2 linked regions of the Macaca mulatta genome follow. The protein of the gene in region 1 interacts with the protein of each later gene in a pairwise test. Links are inferred from orthologs where the notes say so. Each region holds a gene or a part of one and is shown on either strand. Other genes may lie near its edges.

What was found.
Region 2: the proteins of CKM (region 1) and ASB9 interact in binary tests that used the Homo sapiens proteins (3 or more experiments, as listed by UniProt). The two-hybrid records come from large-scale screens. The link is inferred for Macaca mulatta from reciprocal best matches to the Homo sapiens genes CKM and ASB9.

The regions. Positions count from the first base shown.
Region 1 is NC_133424.1:57,838,500-57,842,317, reverse strand, and holds part of CKM (creatine kinase M-type), read left to right. Parts: intron 1-687; exon of another isoform or gene 688-724; 5' UTR 725-742; coding exon 743-935; coding exon of another isoform or gene 936-1,018; intron 1,019-2,451; coding exon of another isoform or gene 2,452-2,477; coding exon 2,478-2,632; coding exon of another isoform or gene 2,633-2,636; intron 2,637-3,818. UniProt on the Homo sapiens protein: Reversibly catalyzes the transfer of phosphate between ATP and various phosphogens (e.g. creatine phosphate).
Region 2 is NC_133426.1:14,910,108-14,913,925, reverse strand, and holds part of ASB9 (ankyrin repeat and SOCS box protein 9), read left to right. Parts: intron 1-3,166; coding exon 3,167-3,274; intron 3,275-3,818. UniProt on the Homo sapiens protein: Substrate-recognition component of a cullin-5-RING E3 ubiquitin-protein ligase complex (ECS complex, also named CRL5 complex), which mediates the ubiquitination and subsequent proteasomal degradation of target proteins.

The sequences.
Region 1 (3,818 bases):
TGACAGAGTGAGACTCCTTCCCAAAAAAAAGAGCTGTGGCTCACGACTGTAATCCCAGCACTTTGGGAGGCTGAGGCAGGCAGATCATGAGGTCAGGAGATTGAGACCATCCTGGCTAACACGGTGAAACCCCGTCTCTACTAAAAATACAAAAAATTAGCCGGGCGTGGTGGTGGGTGCCTGTAGTCCCAGCTACTCGGGAGGCCGAGGCAGGAGAATCACTTGAACCCGGGAGACAGAGGTTGCAATGAGCTGAGATTGCGCCACTGCACTCCAGCCTGGGTGACAGAGGGAGACTTTGTCTCAAAAAAATAAAAATAAGGCCAGGCGCAGTGGCTCAAGCCTGTAATCCCAGCACTTTGGGAGGCCGAGGCGGGTGGATCATGAGGTCAGGAGATCGAGACCATCCTGGCTAACATGGTGAAACCCCGTCTCTACTAAAAATACAAAAAAAACTAGCCGGGCGTGGTGGCGGGCGCCTGTAGTCCCAGCTACTCGGAGGCTGAGGCAGGAGAATGGCGTGAACCTGGGAGGCGGAGCTTGCAGTGAGCCGAGATCGCGCCACTGCACTCCAGCCTGGGTGACACAGCGCGAGACTCCGTCTCAAAAAAATAAAAAAATAAATAAATAAATAAATAAATAAAAATAAAAATAAATAAATAAAGAAGAAGAAGAAGAAGAAAACAGATGCGAGCTAATCTTCCCCTCCTGCCCTGCCCATCAGGTCTCCTACACCGCCACCATGCCGTTCGGTAATACTCACAACAAGTTCAAGCTGAATTACAAGCCTGAGGAGGAGTACCCCGACCTCAGCAAACATAACAACCACATGGCCAAGGTACTGACCCTTGATCTCTACAAGAAGCTGCGGGACAAGGAGACCCCATCGGGCTTCACCCTAGACGATGTCATCCAGACAGGAGTGGACAACCCAGGTGAGCCTCCCTGGTAGAGCACTGAAGGGGCTACATGGGGGCTCCAGAGGCTGCAGGCTACGCCCCATCCCACCTCCCCTGAAGTGGGGGGGGGGTCTCAGTTTTCTCATCTGTAAACCGGGGCTGTTGTGAGAATCAATGCACTGATATACGTAAAGGGCTTGGGACAGTGCAAGGTATGCAGCAAACCACGCAATAAACATGCACGAGAATAATGTGAGATCCCCGAGGAGGTCGGTTCATCTCCCGAACCTCAGTCTCCTCATCTGAAAAATGGGCACCCATGTTGTGAAAACACAGGTCAATGACTGTGCAGTGCTTACAGTGGCGCCTAGCACCAAGTGAGTGCTCAAGCTCTGACGGGAGGCCAGGTGCAGTGGCTCATGCCTGTAATCCCAACATTTGGGGAGGCCCAGGTGGAAGGATCGCTTGAGGCCAGGAGTTTGAGACCAGCCTGGGCAACATAGCAAGACCCTGTCTCGACAAAAAATACAAAAAAATTAGCCAAGTGTGGTAATGAGGGCCTGTGGTCCAAGCTACTCAGGAGGCTGCGGTGGGAGGATAGCTTGAGCCTGGGAGGTGCAGGTTGCAGTAAACCGAGATCGCGCCACTGTACTTCAGCCACAGAGTGAGACCCTGTCTCAAAAAAAAGAGAATCGGATAGGGGATGTTATTAATGTTATGGTTGTTTCTCAAAGCCCTTTCGCTCACAAGGCGAAGAGAGCTGGGAGTAGACAGGAGGCTCTAGTGCCCCTCACGTCCAGCTCTCTGCGTGATGCAGTGGAGAGGCCTTTCTCTTCGGGCCCCTGTTTTTCCACTGGGTCTTCCAAGTCTCTGGCCTTCCTGACCCTCTGTGGCAGGTGGTACCCCAAGATCCTAACAACATTTCAGGCTGAGACGTCATGACTTTGGGTGCTAATGTTTCCGAGGTGCTGATGTTTTTAGCACCAGGTACCCTCTGAAGCTCCCCCTTCTCCTTTGACCCCACGCCCCGCATTCTTTCTTCTCTCCTACTTTGACTCCTCCCAGCCACCTTGACCTCTCCCAGTCTTCCCTCCCGGTTCCCACCAGTCCTCAGTCTTATTTCTTTTTTTTTTTTTCCTTTCTTTTTTTTTGAGAAAGAGTTTGTTCTATCACCCAGGCTGGAGTGCAGTGGTGCCATCTCGACTCACTGCAACCTCCACCCCCTTGGTTCAAGCAATTCTCATGCCTCAGCCTCCCAAGTAGCTGGGATTACAGGCGTGTGCCCCACACCCAGCTAATTTTTGTATTTTTAGTAGAGACAGGGTTCACCCTGTTGGCCAGGCTGGTCTCAAACTCCTGACCTCAAGAGATCCACCCCCCTCGGCCTCCCAAAGTGCTGGGATTGCAGGTATGAGCCACTGCGCCCAACCCTTAGTATTCTCAATTCCCACCCAGAGGTATTGAATGTACCCCCCACAACCCTGACAGACACATGTCCACACAGTCTCCACTGAGCCCACGAGCCCAGGCCCTGTTTGCTGGGGACTAGCAGTTCTGACCTCACCCCCACCCCTCCAGGTCACCCCTTCATCATGACTGTGGGCTGCGTGGCTGGTGATGAGGAGTCCTATGAAGTTTTCAAGGAACTCTTTGATCCCATCATCTCGGATCGCCACGGGGGCTACAAACCCACCGACAAGCACAAGACTGACCTCAACCATGAGAACCTCAAGGTCAGTGTCTGCACGGAGGGGAGGGCTGAGGGGTGAGGAGGAGAGAGATCACAGGAGAGATGGGGGGAGAGAGAAATACAGAGACACAGAGGTGTGGAGAAGCAGAGAGATGAAAGAGAGAGGGACATTGGGAGGCCGAGGCGAACATATCACTTGAGGTCAGGAGTTTAAGACCAGCCTGGCCGGCCGGGCACAGTGGCTCACGCCTGTAATCCCAGCACTTTGGGAGGCCGAGGCAGGCAGATCACGAGGTCAGGAGATCAAGACCATCCTGGCTAACACGCTGAAACCCCGTCTCTACTAAAAATACAAAAAAAAAAAAAATTAGCCGGGCATGGTGGTGGGCGCCTGTAGTCCCTGCTACTCGGGAGGCTGAGGCAGGAGAATGGCGTGAACCCGGAAGGCAGAGCATGCAGTGAGCGAAGGCCAAACCACTGCACTCCAGCCTGGGTGACAGAGCGAGACTCCGTCTCAAAAAAAAAAAAAAAAAAAAAAAAGACTAGCCTGGCCAACATGGCAAAACTCTGTCTCAAAAAAAAAAAAAAAAAAAGAATGGGCCAGCCAGGCACAGTGGCTCACGCCTGTAATCCCAGCACTTTGGGAGGCCGAGGTGGGCAGATCACCTTAGGTTGAGAATTCGAGACCAGCCTGAACAACATGGAGAAATCCTGTCTCTACTAAAAATACAAAATTAGCTGGGTGTGCTGGTGCATGTGGTAGCACATGCCTGTGATCCCAGCTACGCGAGAGACTGAGGCAGAAGAATCGCTTGAACCTGGGAGGCGGAGGTTGCAGTGAGCAGAGATCGTGCCATTGCACTCCAGCCTGGGCAACAAGGGTGAAACTTGGTCTCAAAAAACAAAACAAAAAAAACAAAAAAATAAATTAGCTGGGCATGGTGGTGCACGCCTGTAATCCCAGCTACTCAGGAGGTGGAGGCAGGAAAATCTCTTGCACCCAGGAGACGGAGGCTGCAGTGAGCTAAGATCGTGCCACTGCACTCCAGCCTGGGTGACAGAGCAAGATTCTATCTCAGAAAAAAAAAAAAAAAGGAAAGAGAGAGGGACAGAGAGACACAGAGACAGCCAAGGAGACAGAAAGAGGAGAGGGAGAGGGAGAAGAAAGGCACAAACGCATGTAGAAAAGGAAGAGGCATAGCTGGGCACAGTGGCTCATACCTGTAATC
Region 2 (3,818 bases), on another chromosome or scaffold:
CTAGGTCAGTCCACCCCATAACTCAATAACAAACCACCCCAAAACTCAGTGACATGATAACAGTAACCATTATTTCTTGCTGATGTGTGTTTGTGTCAGCTCATCAAGGCTGGGCCTGGCTGGGCTTGGCTCCCAGCTGTGGGTTGGGTGTAGCCTTGCTGCACATCTCTTTCATCCTTCTTGGACCACTGGCTACCTGAGGAATTATTTTCTCTTGGCAAAACGCTGGAGCACAGCAGGGCAAGTCCAACCATGCAAGAATACTTCCAATCTGTCCATGTCACATCGGCTAACATCCCACTGGTCAAGTCACATGACCACATCCAAACTCAAGAATCAAGAGAAGTACATTTTGTCAACTAAGAGTAGTTGACGACTGAAAATAAATATATTAAAGTTAAGCCATTCGATCTTTTTTTTTTTTTTTTTTTCCAAAACTAAGAACTGACTGTGGACTGGACACTGTGAAGTAATGGTGTGAAGTAATGGGTTAATTACCTTATGATATTATATGACTCAGACTTGTTAATAATTTAGACAAACCACAGTTAATCTGAGGTAAAACTGTAGCTTGATGATGAACTATAAATGAGTTTCTAACTTTGTAGAAGGAACCTTTCTGTAATGTGAGTATATGGTGAAAACTTTTTGTTTTGTGTTACCAATAGCTGTGTTGTTGTATTTCATTTACCTGGATTTATGTATAAACACCTAAATGCTGGTTTTATTACTATTATTATTATTATTATTATTATTATTTTTTTTTTTTGAGATAGGGTTTCGCTCTTGTTCCCCAGTCGGGAGTGCAGTGGCGCGATCTCGGCTCACTGCAACCTCCGCCTCCCGGGTTCAAGCAATTCTGCCTCAGCCTCCCGAGTAGCTGGGCCTACAGGCATGTGCCACCACGCCCGGCTAATTTCGTATTTTTTTTTTTTTTTGAGACGGAGTCTTGCTCTGTCGCCCAGGCTGGAGTGCAGTGGCCAGATCTCAGCTCACTGCAAGCTCCACCTCCTGGGTTCACGCCATTCTCCTGCCTCAGCCTCCCGAGTAGCTGGGACTACAGGTACCCGCCACCTTGCCCAGCTAGTTTTTTTGTATTTTTTAGTATAGACGGGGTTTCACTGTGTTAGCCAGGATGGTCTCGATCTCCTGACCTCGTGATCCGCCCGTCTCGGCCTCCCAAAGTGCTGGGATTACAGGCTTGAGCCACCGCGCCCGGCCAATTTTGTATTTTTAGTAGAGACGAGGTTTCACCATGTTGGTCAGGCTGGTCTCGAACTGCTGACCTCAGGTAATCCATCAGCCTTAGCCTCCCAAAGTTCTGGGATTACAGGCATGAGCCACCGTGCCTGGTCTAAATGCCGGTTTAAAAATGGTAGTCGTGCTGGAGGAGCATGCGCATTTTCTATTGGTTGTTTCCTATTGGTTGCCTTTTGCCCAAGTTCTGTACCTCAGCCTGTCTTTCCCCCCACTTGTGTCTGATACACTTGCATGATTTTTGCTTCATGTGACAATCATACCCCTCTTGTGGCATTGACAAAACTACTTTTTGTAAGTGTGATGACTGAGAAAATAAGGTATTTTCTCTTGCCAATTGGACATTTAATCTTAGGTACGAATAGTAAAGTAAGAAATGACATATTCTTTTCTTTGATCAAGACAAGACTTGGCAAATTTTTTTCAGTAAAGGACCAGATAGTAAATATTTTAGGCTTTGTGAACCATGCAGTCTCTGTTGGAAGTACCTAACTCTGCTGTTTAGCAGAAAAGCAGTTGTAGACAGTATGTAAATGAATGGGCATGGCTGTGTTCTGGTAAAACTTTGCTTATGGATGCTGAAATTTGAATTTCATAAAATTTTCATGTGTCACAAAATATTCCTTTGATTTCTTTTAAACCATTAAAAATGTAGAAACCATTCCTAGCTGCTGTGCTGTACAGAAGCAGGTTGTGGTCTAGATTTGACTCTGTAGGCTGTTGTTTACTGACCCTTTTGTCAAAACTATGATAGAGCTAGGAAATCTAAGAAAAAAAATTAAATGTCAGGCAAAGGAGGGTTTTTTTGAGAAAAAAAAGTTGGGTGAAACTGGTATTTTTATTACAAATATTATTAAATCCTATGTGCTACTAAATACTTACATTTAAAGAGCAATTATATTAGTTAATAGGTGCATTTCAATTTCCTAAATAAAGTACATTTAGGCTTCCTAAAAAGGTACATGCAGTCTATTTCTTTTCCCTTGCAGTTTCATAATTTCCTTTTAATTGTCCCACAAGATAGAGACACTTGTGAATATGTTAAAATTTAATAATTGCTTCTTAAAACTTAGCAATTCGGGCCACGCTGACTTTAAAAAAATTGAGAAATTTCATAAACAAACATAAAAGAACTTAAACACGTGTGCACTTGAACAAAAAGTGATGATGATGAGAGTATTGCCATGTGACTGCCTCCCCAGGTCAGGAAATGGAAAAATAGCACATTGCCGGCTCCTCCACAGAGTCACCCATCCCTCCCCTTACCATGCTTTCTAGAACACGATCCTGTCCTCTTCCACAGGATTAACCATTATCCCAATTTCCTTGTTTTCTTTATGGTTTTACTTTATATATTATGTCTTCTGAAACAATATGGGGTAGTTTTGCCTAATTTTGAACTTTAAATTGATGTAGTCATTCAGTGTGTATGCTTTTGGATTTTGCTTCTTTTGCTCAACATTATTTTTGCAAGCATCACCCTGGTAGTGCTTGCCATTATAATTTGTTGGGTGTAATCTTTCTGCTGAAAGATTATACCAAAGTTTATTAATTCAGTTCATTGTTGATGGACATTTGGTTTGTTTGCAGTTTCTATTACGACCAATGCTGTTGTGAATATTCTTGTATATGTATCTAGATGTATATATATCTAAGAGTCAGATGGCTGAGGCATAGGCGTAGGCATTGTCAGCTCTAATAGATACAGTCAAACTGTTTTCCTGAGTGGTTATACCATATTACACTCCTACCAGTCGTGTGGCAGGTTTTTTTAAAGTCAATATAAACATCTTAGTGTACCATCTGACTTTGAGCCAGGTCAACTTTGTCATAGTACTGGAATGGTGGCTGAAAAACAGCCCCGGGGCACTGTCGCTTTGCACCCCTTACTCTATTTCCCCTCCTTCAGGGGTGGCTTGTGAACATCATCACGGCAGATCATGTCTCCCCACTCCATGAAGCCTGTCTCGGAGGTCATCCCTCTTGTGTAAAGATTTTATTAAAGCATGGAGCTCAGGTAAGGGCAGCTGAAACAACATCTTAGAAACCAAGAATGAAAAATGACTATGTATATCCCTACTGAATAGCTTCCAGCACTTTTGATTAGGCTGATTTGAAATATGAAGACAGTTGTTTTTTAAGAAAATTATGTTCATCAGACTTGTTTGCTTTAGTGATAGGTGGATGCAATACTAAATTTTTAGTCGTGCTTACAGTCTATATCATTTTCTTTATCACACACTACTAATAGTTGTTAGACTTCTGTCTTCATTGTTATGGCTGGAAGGTAATGAAATATTGTGGAAAGCACACATTTGCCTGGGGTGGCTAGGATGTCTGAGGAGACAGAAAATCTATGTGGTCATTCACCCTTTGGCTGGCAACTTGGACTTGTTCACATGGTAGCAGGGATTGCAAGAGCAGCAAAAATGGACCTGTTTGGTGTTAGGTAACTGAATGGTGGAGTGGGGGATATTATGGGCTTGCTATCTTCTGGCAACAGCAAATGCAAAGTCCCAGAAGTGATTGTGAGCAATTTTTGTATCTTGAAATCATTCCTT